Linked DNA regions of Oryza sativa Japonica Group. The protein of the gene in region 2 interacts with the protein of the main gene of each other region in a pairwise test. Links are inferred from orthologs where the notes say so. Each region holds a gene or a part of one and is shown on either strand. Other genes may lie near its edges.

What was found.
Region 1: the proteins of putative protein Brevis radix-like 3 (region 2) and thioredoxin O, mitochondrial interact in binary tests that used the Arabidopsis thaliana proteins (3 or more experiments, as listed by UniProt). The link is inferred for Oryza sativa Japonica Group from reciprocal best matches to the Arabidopsis thaliana genes BRX and TO1.
Region 3: the proteins of putative protein Brevis radix-like 3 (region 2) and probable E3 ubiquitin-protein ligase XERICO interact in binary tests that used the Arabidopsis thaliana proteins (3 or more experiments, as listed by UniProt). The link is inferred for Oryza sativa Japonica Group from reciprocal best matches to the Arabidopsis thaliana genes BRX and AT1G49850.

Annotation. Positions count from the first base shown.
Region 1 is NC_089040.1:28,394,797-28,398,483, forward strand, and holds thioredoxin O, mitochondrial, read left to right. Parts: upstream 1-807; 5' UTR 808-817; coding exon 818-995; intron 996-1,081; coding exon 1,082-1,147; intron 1,148-1,267; coding exon 1,268-1,322; intron 1,323-1,419; coding exon 1,420-1,495; intron 1,496-2,507; coding exon 2,508-2,552; intron 2,553-2,668; coding exon 2,669-2,763; intron 2,764-2,965; coding exon 2,966-2,975; 3' UTR 2,976-3,401; downstream 3,402-3,687. UniProt on the Arabidopsis thaliana protein: Thiol-disulfide oxidoreductase that may participate in various redox reactions. Possesses insulin disulfide bonds reducing activity. Reduced by thioredoxin reductases NTRA and NTRB.
Region 2 is NC_089038.1:30,809,264-30,813,013, reverse strand, and holds the start of putative protein Brevis radix-like 3, read left to right. Parts: upstream 1-1,191; 5' UTR 1,192-1,598; intron 1,599-1,875; 5' UTR 1,876-2,023; intron 2,024-3,639; 5' UTR 3,640-3,748; coding exon 3,749-3,750. UniProt on the Arabidopsis thaliana protein: Acts as a regulator of cell proliferation and elongation in the root and shoot. Regulates roots architecture and primary root protophloem differentiation.
Region 3 is NC_089046.1:24,770,547-24,774,296, forward strand, and holds the start of probable E3 ubiquitin-protein ligase XERICO, read left to right. Parts: upstream 1-1,130; 5' UTR 1,131-1,261; coding exon 1,262-1,405; intron 1,406-3,750. UniProt on the Arabidopsis thaliana protein: Probable E3 ubiquitin-protein ligase that may possess E3 ubiquitin ligase activity in vitro.

The DNA.
Region 1 (3,687 bases), on a different chromosome or scaffold from region 2:
TTTCAGTTTCACTCTCAAATAGTAATCATCATAGCTACTTCCATTTCATGCAGTCTGGTGGAGCCTTTAGGGACAAATATGGATAGATTGGTAGGTCCTGGTCTTTCCTTGCAACTCAATTTTACATGGTGGATCAGGTTCTTTCTCTCCCTAAATAATTTCCTATCCTTTCTGTTAGGTCATGTGGCCCAACTAGTGAATGTTAGTGAAGAGTTTTATAACCAAGCCTTATGATGGATTTTGCAGTCACCGATAATGCGCAATAATGCTCCACTATCCCATTCTTTAGTAATCTCTACTTGTGGTCTAAAGATAAAGATATTCTTTATAAGGTCTCAAACAAAGCTTTGCAACTGTCGCTCACTGTCTGAGCTTAGGTGGTTTTCCTAAAGAAAAAACTCATTTTAAATTTTTGTTAAAAATCGGTTTGCTACTTTAGTACTCCATCCGGTTTTCAGTAGATCACACTTTTGACTTTTAGACATATGTTTGATTGTTCGTCTTATTAAAAAATAAGGATAATCGATATTTTTGCATATTGTAAAATTTATTTTTAAGTAAGACCAATAGTCAAATTGTATATTCAAAATCTAACAACGTCATCAGTTAAAAACTAGAGAGAGTATTTATTATTCAATCAATCAAATAAAAAGATAAACAGACTTGTAAAGAATAAATGGGCCTGAAATACACTGGGCCGGAAGCCCATCCTACTGTGTGAGAAACTTTCAGGCCCATGCGGTTTCGTCGTGGGCTTGGCGTCTCCGAGCTTTTACGCACAAAAGAGGCAAAATCTTTCACGGCGACGTGGCACAGTATGGCTCTGGCTCACCGACTCTGCCGTCTTCCTCGCCTCCTCCCCCTCGCCGCCGCCGCCGCCGCCTCCAAACCCTACCTCCCCGGAAAACCTAGCCCCGCGCCTCCTCCTCCCCTCTCCTCCCCGCCGCCGTTTCCCTCTCTCTCCCGCCTCTTCTCCACCACCCCCTCCTCCTCAGGTACTCACCACTTCTCCTCAAGTGGTTACTGGACTCGAGATAATCGTGTTTTCTTTTCTTTTTCTTTTTCTTCTTTGTTGTTGCAGGTGATTCCAGCATGGTGGTGGTCGGATCGGCGGAGTCCTTCACCAGCATCATGTCCAAGGTGGAAGGTGCGGCGCGCCCGATTCCTCTTCCTCTCCCCTTCCACCTTTGCTGCTGTTGTTTGTTAGTGTTTTGGTGGGTAGGATTGGATCATGGTCTCATGGATGCGCGCGATTTCCTTTTTGCAGCGGAGAAGCTTCCGGCCGTGTTCTACTACACGGCGGTATGGTGCGGGCCTTGTAAGTGCCGGATCTTCGTGCCGAAATTGGGATTTTTGGAATTAGATGGTTGATGATGATGTGAGGTGTTATAAGATGGGTTGTTTGGTGTTTGTAGGTAGAGCGATGGCACCCGTGATTTCAAAACTGAGCAGCCGGTACCCCAAGATACCTATCTACAAAGTTGACATTGACATGGTAAGTGGGCGGATCCAAATCTCGCTGCGATTGTGATGCGCCGAAGTGTTCTTCTTGCTCAAATAGGTGTTGTTGGGATTAAAATTGCAAAATTGTTTGGTTACTCATATGTTCATAGTTGAAGATTGTTTGTCATGTATAATTGCATTACCTCCCATGTGTTAACTGCAGAGTAGTATTTTTGACCCCTGTCCTTTCAAAGTTTAGGTTTGGCTTATGCTTTTTAGGGTGTGTTTTAATCTTGAGCAAGGGAAGTTCTATCCTTGCTAAGTTAGGAGAGGCATTTGGTACAAACAAAAAATCCTAGATTTTGAGGGCAAGTTAGGCAATAACTGCCTCAAAATCCTTGCCCACCAGGGAGAGCCAAATCAGCTCTCCTCCAGCGGCAAGCAATGATCGTTGGTAGTTTTGCTTGAGCAGCCATGAAACCAAATGAACTCTCTTGTTGCCATAGGCTATATAGCCTAACCTGACTACTTTGGCATTGCTTGGCTAGGCAAAATATTCCAGAAATCCAAACGTGCCCTTAGTAAACTACAATGCTTAAAACTCAAGTGCTAGTGATTGAACCAATCCTGTTCTTCTGTAGAAAGCCTCGAGTCAATTGACCAATCTGGATCTAGTCTGAAATATTTCGCATCATTCTAGCACTACTTATGTTCAAGTATGGGATCTGCATATGTAGAAGGCAAAGTTATGAGATGGGAATTTTTCACTGAATATCCGTAATACTGTTCCATGAATCACTGTTAATCAAGATGGTGTCCGGTTCAGAGCTTCCTACCTTTGTATTCTGATTTCAAAGACTAATATGCTACACTGTTTGGTTAGTTCACTCAATAACTGGAATACTCTATTGAGAACACTCCTATACTTTCAGTACATTGAAAGGCAAAATGTGTTTCACTATGTTACCAATTTTGATTATGGCTGAAATAATTATCTGAACCTTATGGCCATGCTTGGACATGTTTATTGATAGGCACTTCCCTGACCTGTGTTGCTTTTGCAGGATGGTGTTGGAAGCAAACTAAGTGATCTAAAAATATTCTCTGTGGTAAGTTGCATTGTACTATGACTATAGCTCATGACTGTGTGCCTAAATTTCTGCGCAGCTTCCTCCAGTTATCTAGATCTCTTTTTCTTTGTTGCCAACATGTTTTGCTCTTGTAGCCAACATTCCATTTCTACTACCAAGGTCGGAAGACAGGTGAGGTGGTTGGTGCTAATGCGACAAAACTTGAATCAACCATGGAAAGTCTTCACAAGTAAGAAATTCAATTTATATTATTCCCTTGTTATCTCTGTTGTTAAATAGATGGACATAAAGAAAACCTGACCAATTAAATTTAATCCTGTCACTACAAAACAAGCAAAACCTTGGTTGTGATGATAAGATATGCATACGAGTTCATACACTTGTGTCCATCACTTACTAAGTGCCCCTGGTATTATGCTTTTGTTGCACAGGCAACTATAGAAGTTTTGTGGAAGAATATGACCGGGAGGTGGCCAGATGTCTCCATGTGCCTTCCATCAACGTGTTTGACATTGATATTTCTGAACCTTCTGGTTGTTTTTTATCATGCTGAATTCAGTACATTGCACCTCTTGTTTATTTAGCACAACTTTGTATAGTCTGCATGTCTAATATCAGAATCAACGCAAACATTCTGTTGGGATGCAGCAACCCACTAATTTTGTTGGGATAGACGTGAAGGAATTCTGGGCCTGTCAGTCCATCCATTGTTTTTCTGGGCCTTTGTCATAGTTCAACCATTCCAGTGTTGGGCTACAAGTCCCCCAGAATTTTTTCTCGCCATCGGCACAAGTTAATCATGAACCTACGATGTTTGGCGTCTCGAAAGTGAAAAAAAATAAATTAAATGCTTGAGTTTCACCTGAATTTCTGAGCAATCTGGTGCGTTGCACCGTATACTGTGATCGTGCTCTACCCACTAGGCCACTATCCAGACTATCCATACTCCAAAGGTCAAAACGGCCACGCACGGACAGATGCAGGGGTTCTTGAACAGGTGAAAAAAAATAGATGGACATAAAGAAAACCTGACCAATCAAAACGGCCACGCACGGACAGATGCGAGGCGGCAGGAACGAAAATATGCCATTGCCGAATTAGCACTCCAGATTCAAAGGCCTCCTTCGAAACTGCAGGCAATTTGAAGGAGCTT
Region 2 (3,750 bases):
AACCACATTTATTGCAGTTTTGACGAGCGCGTCACGCCGCCTGTATCGCAGTACAGCACGCTCGTTTATCCGGTCTGTGACCAGTCACAGACCGGTCAGATCATGGGTTAGGTGGCGACAGGCGGTCTGACGCACGCCTCGCCCCATCCCGTCAGGACGAGAGCCTCCAAGCACTCGTCCCTAGCTGGAGCCGGCGTGTTAGCTCCTGGAGATGGCACGTTGGTTCCGGTCAGATATATGCCAGGCTTCATCCTAACCATTACAGGCAAGATATTGTATGAAGAAGGGCGAACATGCAGATTGTTAAACTGACACGTGGTGGACAAGAATGACCGATTTGTGACCGGTCTGACAATGGTCAAGTCATCAGCAGACAGCCATCTTCCCACGTCGCGCCTGCCTCCGGCGGAAGTGGAGGTAGGTATGGGCCGTCCCATCAGAAGGTCATTCGGACGGCGGCGATGCAAATCTCCGTCTGTTAATGAAGAGAAGTCAAATTGGAAGAAAGAGAGGGGGAGATGGTGCATGTGGTATCCCCTTAAGATATAAAAGGAGGACCTTGCCCACTTAGAGGGGGGATGATTGGACTTTTCCAGATTGGGAACCCAGAACAAGAGAGAGGCTGGCTCATACTTTGTAGCTCCTTCATACACAGATCCTCCAAAACACAGGAGTAGGGTATTACGCTTCTCAGCGGCCCGAACCTGTATACATCGCCGGCGTCTTGTGTGTTTCCTGTCTCGCGAACCTTCCACAAATTGGGAGCTTAGAGTCTCACCCAGGGTCCCCGGCCGAACCGGCAAAAGGGGACCAGCGCGGTCTCCCGGTGAGGAGCCCCACGCTCCGTCAGTCGCTATGGGCTACTCGCCTATTGGGCTTGCAAGCACACGCTGACGTACTTTGCGCCATCAAGATCGGACGGTCCTCGATCATGACAAAGCCCCGTCAGCATATGCATCACATCGCACGGTCCTGATCGCGCCACGGCAGCACGTTCGTCATCGCCACGGTCCGTGCCGGGGCCCGGGCCTTCGCGGGCCCCGCAGCGAATCACCGTAGGTGGGGCCCAGCCCAGGACCAGGGAGATGACCACACGCCGCGCAGGATCGGACGGCCGCGATCTCGCGGGGACCGCCGCGTGTCCCGTGGGGGAGGGACTATATATGGGCCGGAAACGAGACGGCTTGCACTGCCTGTGCACTCGGCGCCCTCTCGTCGTATATGGGGGAAGGATCCGACGGCCCAGCGCGACGCCCGCAGTGTTCTCTCCCTCCCCACCTCGATCTCTCTCTCTCGCTTCGTGGCTCTTCTCTCCTGCGACTGCGAGAGGAATCTCCCACTCAGTCCCAGATTGTTTCTGTGCGGCGACAGCGTCGCTGCGTAGCTTCTGATATCTTTGCCGCCGCTGTGTTTGGCGCCATTGACGCAGCCGCATCCACTCCTCGACCAGACAAGGGAGGCCTTTCTCTCTGTGCTATCTCCAAAGGCTTCTGAGTCGATTCAGAGGCAGAGCTCGAAACCGAAAGGGCGGCGAAGGTGAAGCCGACCGGCGGGCTGCAAATTGCGCTCGTTCGCTCACCGGCGACGTGGAGGAGAAGGTAATGGTGGTGACGGCGACGCACGCAACCAGCTTGCTTGATGCTTCGTCTTATCTTTGCTTTGCTTTTTTTTTGTGTGTGTGTGTGTTGAGTTACACTTTTTCTATGTTTTGTTTTCTCGTCTTGCATGCCGTTTCTTACCCTGTTCTGTTCACCAGAAAGTCAAAGTCCGTTTATCTTGGTGTCAAAAATAAAAGGCCGTTTCTCCTTGCATCCCGCTCTCGCTTCTAGGCGTATACATATTTATTTTGGCACATTTTTGTCTGCATCATTTCAGGCGCCGGAGAGAGAGGAAGAGGAGGCGGAGCAACCCGGTCAGCGCGCGCGTAGGTGGTTTGGGTACGCACACTGTTTACACGGCGAGCAAACTCGGAGGAGAGAGAGAGCTGTGGCTAACGTAGCTATCTGGGGGCCGTCAGTTACCTGTAAGCATCATCTCATCACTCTCACTGTGCCTCTCATTTCTCTCTCCCTCTACAGCAACATTAATTAATTACTAGCTGATACTACTACTGTACAAAAGAAATTACTACCACCGGCCAAAAGAAAACACACACAATACCGTGTTTAAGGTTATCACGTCGTGTTTCTATTAAAAAAGCGCAAAAGATAATCAGCAAAAACCCTACCGGGCTCCACAATGCAGTCACTCGATAGCCGGTCGCTTTAGCCGGGGCCCATATTTTTCTCGGTAGGGATGGAGCAGGAGGAAAAAAAAAATAAAGTCCAGGCAGTACGTTGATCTGGGGGAGGGCGTGGGGCCCCAGCTGCAGTGACTGTAGCTGATACACATCTGAGCGGCTCCCTGCCTCGTCCACCGAGCTACTGCTGTTGGTGTCGTTTGGAGTCTTCCCCATACGCCCCTGCCTACCTCGCGTGGGTAGCTGCGCCTCATCTGCATGAACACTGTGCACAACACATACACAAACGGGCGGAGCTAGCTAGCCATAGCACACTGGTGGTTAATAAATTTCCATGTGCGCGTAAACATCAGAAGCTTCCCTGCCGCAATGTAGCTGACCGTATTTTACTACTACAACCTGCTTTTCAGTTTTGATTTACTAGTAGTATATGTGTGTGTGTCATGTGGCATGGCGATTAAAGAATCTCTGTGCCTGTGCCCGTCGATCGATCTGCTTTGCCCCGCGTAGCGTTTCTTCCACTGTGTTAGAGCAGCCTGCGAATGCATGCCATGCATGCAGGAGTAGCTGTGAACGACTGTGATGCTGCCATTGGCATGGGTCTTGCTTGCTTTGTTATGCTGGTGCTATACTTTTTTGTCGCTGCAGGCTCCAGTGCTCCACTGCACCAGCTAGCCAGCCAGCTTGCCCCGTTTTGACGCCGGTGGCGAATTGAAGCTCCAGAGACCAGAGTCCCTAGCTATAGCTATCTCTCGTACATACGCATGCTTGCATTGCTCTCTGTTGCTCAACGAGCCGGAAGGACAGCTCCTCCGACGCACACGCATGCGCACGTGTGCGTGGTCACGGACCGGCCGGATAGCTCTGTGCTCGCATAGTGTACCGGATGTCGTGTTCGCGTGCTTACATGTGAGATGCAAGGATGGCATGGCACGTCTGGTCCAAATGGTGTGTGGTACTAGAATGGCGTCACACACCGGCTTGGAAACCGCTTTACGTTATTACAGTACATTGTAGATTGTGGCTATGGCTAGAGGATACTAGACTGATAGTGTCACTGTTGATACTTGATAGGAGTACGTACTTTCGGCGTGTATTTATTTTGGTCGTACATACGTGTGCGTGGATACACGAAATCTCGCACTCGTTTAATTATCATGGAAATGTGTACTATACATGTACTAAGTGTACTATTGCCATGCGAACAACGACAAAGTTTGACCATCTCATGGATAGACATTCTATCACATGCATGCATGCAACTGTAGCCGTGGGCTGTAGTGTCTACATGACGGCATGTCTGATCAAACTTGATCTTTCGTTACAGCGGCTTCAATTCTGATAGATAGCCGTACTGTGGTAGTACTATATATGTAACGCTAATGCACACACTTTTGCAGTTCGATACACAAGGTGAGATTGTGGGGGGAGCGATTGACTACTGATTGATCCGTCTCGTCGTCGTCGATCGAGGAGAGGGAGGCAGATAGGGAGAGGGGGTCAGAGAAGAT
Region 3 (3,750 bases), on a different chromosome or scaffold from region 2:
TAGCTACTTTGAGCTGATCTTTATAATACTCAATGTACATTTGGCAACATTTAATTTGGTCTTCCAGAGTTGGTTCTGGATTAATGACCTTGCAGGTCACCAAAAGGCGCACTAATTTCCATCATGTCTAAAGTGATCAACTTGGAGATATGGCCATCATCAAGCCCCCACATATGATCCACGCAGAATAAAATTGTTCTACATACCAATAATTTTCATTCAGATTTAGTTCCATTTTGATTCTGATTTAGTGCGCCTAAGTTTGTTTACACAGCTAAATACGGAGACATGTCGACACTATATCTCAAATAACCGTTTCTTCATCACTGAAGTAGTGTGAAAAGATTGCGTTTTTAAAGATTGCAATTTTTTTCCTCTCCTGTTTTGTGCCCTTGATATTATGTCGTTTTCATCAGTAGTTTAGAGCAAGTTTAATAGTATATCCAACTATTGGCTTCAATTCATCTATAGCCAACCTAATAGCTCATTCATACAATATTTACATACTACACTATTAATACCTGGTCCTACTTGTTATACACACCCTGCGTCTTGAAGTCCGTATTACAGCTGGCTATAAATTTATAGCCCGCTGCTATTCTCTCTTCTTATTTATCTTATTAAAATATGTTTGCAGTTGGCTTATAGCCAGGTATTGTACCTGCTTTTAGAGCACCCATAATGGTAAAATAAGATGCTCTCTATAAAACATGTACATCTCAGCAATAGATTAGATTAATAGTAAACCACCTCAATAGTATGTCTACATGTGTATCTATAGCTCTCTAATCCATTGCCTCGTTTTTATCTATAGACTATCTCTAGGTTAGTATATAGCTTTGTTCTCTCTCTTCATTTAGTCTCTTCCAAGTAGGATAATATGCTGACATGGATATCTTATGGATATCTTATAGAGAGCCTATAAATAACCATTGCGGGCGCCCTTATCACGCTTCTAGCTTCATTTAAGCCGTCCAAAACCCTTAACTGCGATGGCGCACAACACAACAAATCATCTTTTCGAGGATTTTGCGAAGAATCGATACAAAAAAGCAACGTTGACGTGAGCGAGAAAATTCAGAAACTTTCAGAGGAAAAAAGAAGAAGAAAGGTTTCAACTTTCAAGAGGTAGTAGTAGTAGTAGTGCAGAGATATCTGAAGAAAAGTGCAGAGAAAAAAGAAGCAGCCGAGGTAATATAAAAGTTGGAGAGAAACAGGTGAAGCTGCAATATTTCGCCACATCTTCTTCTTCTTCTTCTCCATGCCGATCGCCTCCAAGCTCGTCTACTTCCAGCGCCGCCGCCCATCGCCGGCGCCGCCGGAGCCGGAGCCGGAGCCTCCCGACCCTCGCCGCAGGCCCTGCCGAGCCGGAGCCGGAGCCTCCGCCGCACGCCGCCGCAAGCCGGTGAGCTAGCTTTCTGCCGTTTCTTGGCTAAGGCTGCGAACTTATTATTATTATTTTATTATTTATTTTTACGGCTTCTCGAGTGAGGAGAAGTTTTCGGAGGAGGATTTCGTCTCCAGTGTTTAGTTGGATTTCAGCTTAGGAGTAGCTAGTGAGAATCATGGTGTGGTTCATGGTTTTGTGGCGTTGTGGCCAAGTGCTGGCGATTTGGGTGAGGTTCCAAAGAAAGTAAGAAACGATTTTAGAAGGGAGGGTTTAGATTGAGATTTGATTGCTGATTTGGAAGGGGAAATGGATGGTTTTAGAGATTTGCCTAGGAAGGAGACACCAGGGGAGTTCCAATCTGGTACTTGGATCAGCAATCAGCTTGTAAGAACTAAAGAAGTGGAGAATTTCATCTTTTGTTTTGTAGGGCTCACCCCAGTGAAGATTTGTGTTGGAAGCTTTGGTAGAGTGATTAGTTGTGGTCAGTTGAGATGAACTGAGGCGTGCATCAGTGAATCAGATCATCTGCACTTTCATATGCATGCCCTTGTCAGATCTATGGCAAGTTAGTAACCAAATGTTTGGCTCTCATAGAAAAAAAAGAGAAAATTCGATCCATAGCACAAGAAAAAAAGCGGTACCAAAAAATAGCACACAATTTTTTCGCTTTCGACGAGAAGCACAGGCCACCGTTTTTCCTTCGTACCATAGCACTTCCGTCGCATCCTGAGGTAACGGTGTTAGATCTGAGTGGAGAAAAATGTCATTGGACTCATTTGCCCTTCATCTCTTCTCCCTTATTCCCTATTTCCTCAGCTATTTCCCGTTCATTCTCTTTTGATGGTTCCTTTGCTGTGGAGCTTGGATACCAAGTGCGTCGTTGTCAACACGTTCGCAGCCTTGGAGGCCGCCTATTTGGACTTGAAGTGTCCTCCGGTGGGCTCAAGGTTGTTAGCCATGGCCTTCGTCCAGCGACCGTGGCGGACCGGCGGTGCTACCGACAGAGGTGGGTGCCTGGCTGGACGCCTTCGCCGATGGCGCCGTCGTGTACGTCAACTTAGCGACGCAGCAGTCACTGTCGCCGGCGCAGGTGGCGTGCGTGGCTGAGGCGCTGACGCGGAGCTCGGCGGCGCTCGTGTGGGCCGCGGACAGCGTCACCGCCGCAGCGCTGCCGAAAGGGTTCGAGGCGGCGACAATGGCGTGGGGACGGGCCTGGTCATCCGCGGGTGGGCGCCGCAGGTGGCGATCCCGCGCCACCGCGCCGTGGGGTGGTCCCTGATGCACTGCGGCACGAACACGATGCTGGAGGCGACGTCGGCGGGCGTCGCGATGCTCACGTGGCCCATGGTCGCCGACCACTTCGTGAACAAGATTTTGCTGGTGGAGGCCGGCGTGGCGATGCACCTGGCGGAGGGCGCGGACGCCGTGCCTGACTCTGGGCAGATGGCGAAGGCGATCGCCGCCGTGGTCGGCGACAAGGGGAAGCCCTTCAGGGAGCGTGCAGTGGCGCTTGCCCGCATGGCTGCAGCGGCGGTAGCAGAGGGTGGGACTTCGTATAGGGACTTGGAAAGAGGGAGGAAATGGGGAATAAGGGAGAAGAGACGAAGGGCAAATGAGTCCAACGATATTTTTCTCCACTTCGATCTAACGCCGTTACCTCATAATGTGACGGAAGTGCTACGGGTCGAAGGAAAAACGGTGGCCTGTGCTTCTCGCCGAAAGCGAAAAATTTATGTGCTATTTTTTGGTACCGCTTTCTCTTCTGTGCTATAGATCGAATTTTCTCAAAAAAAAAAATGTCAAGTCTGGTTCTCGCAAAATCTAAGTTATGTGTTAGTAAATTTGGTCGTTGATGAGATCTATGATTATGAGTGTAAATGATGGGTTCGGTGATCTTTTGTTCTTCAAGAAACATTAATGTGTTTGCTGGTGTTCTGGGGAATTCATCAGCTGGTACAGTGGTACTAGTAGAAAGTTTGACAATCCTTTTCAAACTAGGTAGAGTACATCTGTACATGTGCTGTAACTCGTGAAGGGTATTTACTACAACCATGATAAGAAGGTACTCGTGGAATACTAGTAGCATATACCGAAATCTTTTTCTGAGAGGTTCAACTAATTTCAATGTAGATTTATGGTTAAATGACAAAGACAGTTCTTTGGTTGGTATCTCAAATTTAGTAGCCCAATTAAGCCTGTAGTACTTTACATTCATACTAGTACTAATTAGATGTTAATTGCTGGTAAACTGCTATTTCAAAACCTTTTATGGAAATTCCCATTGTTTAGTAGCAATCGTTTCTGACTAACTAATGCTTGTCTTCGCGCCAAAATTATGGACTAGATTTCCCATTACTAAA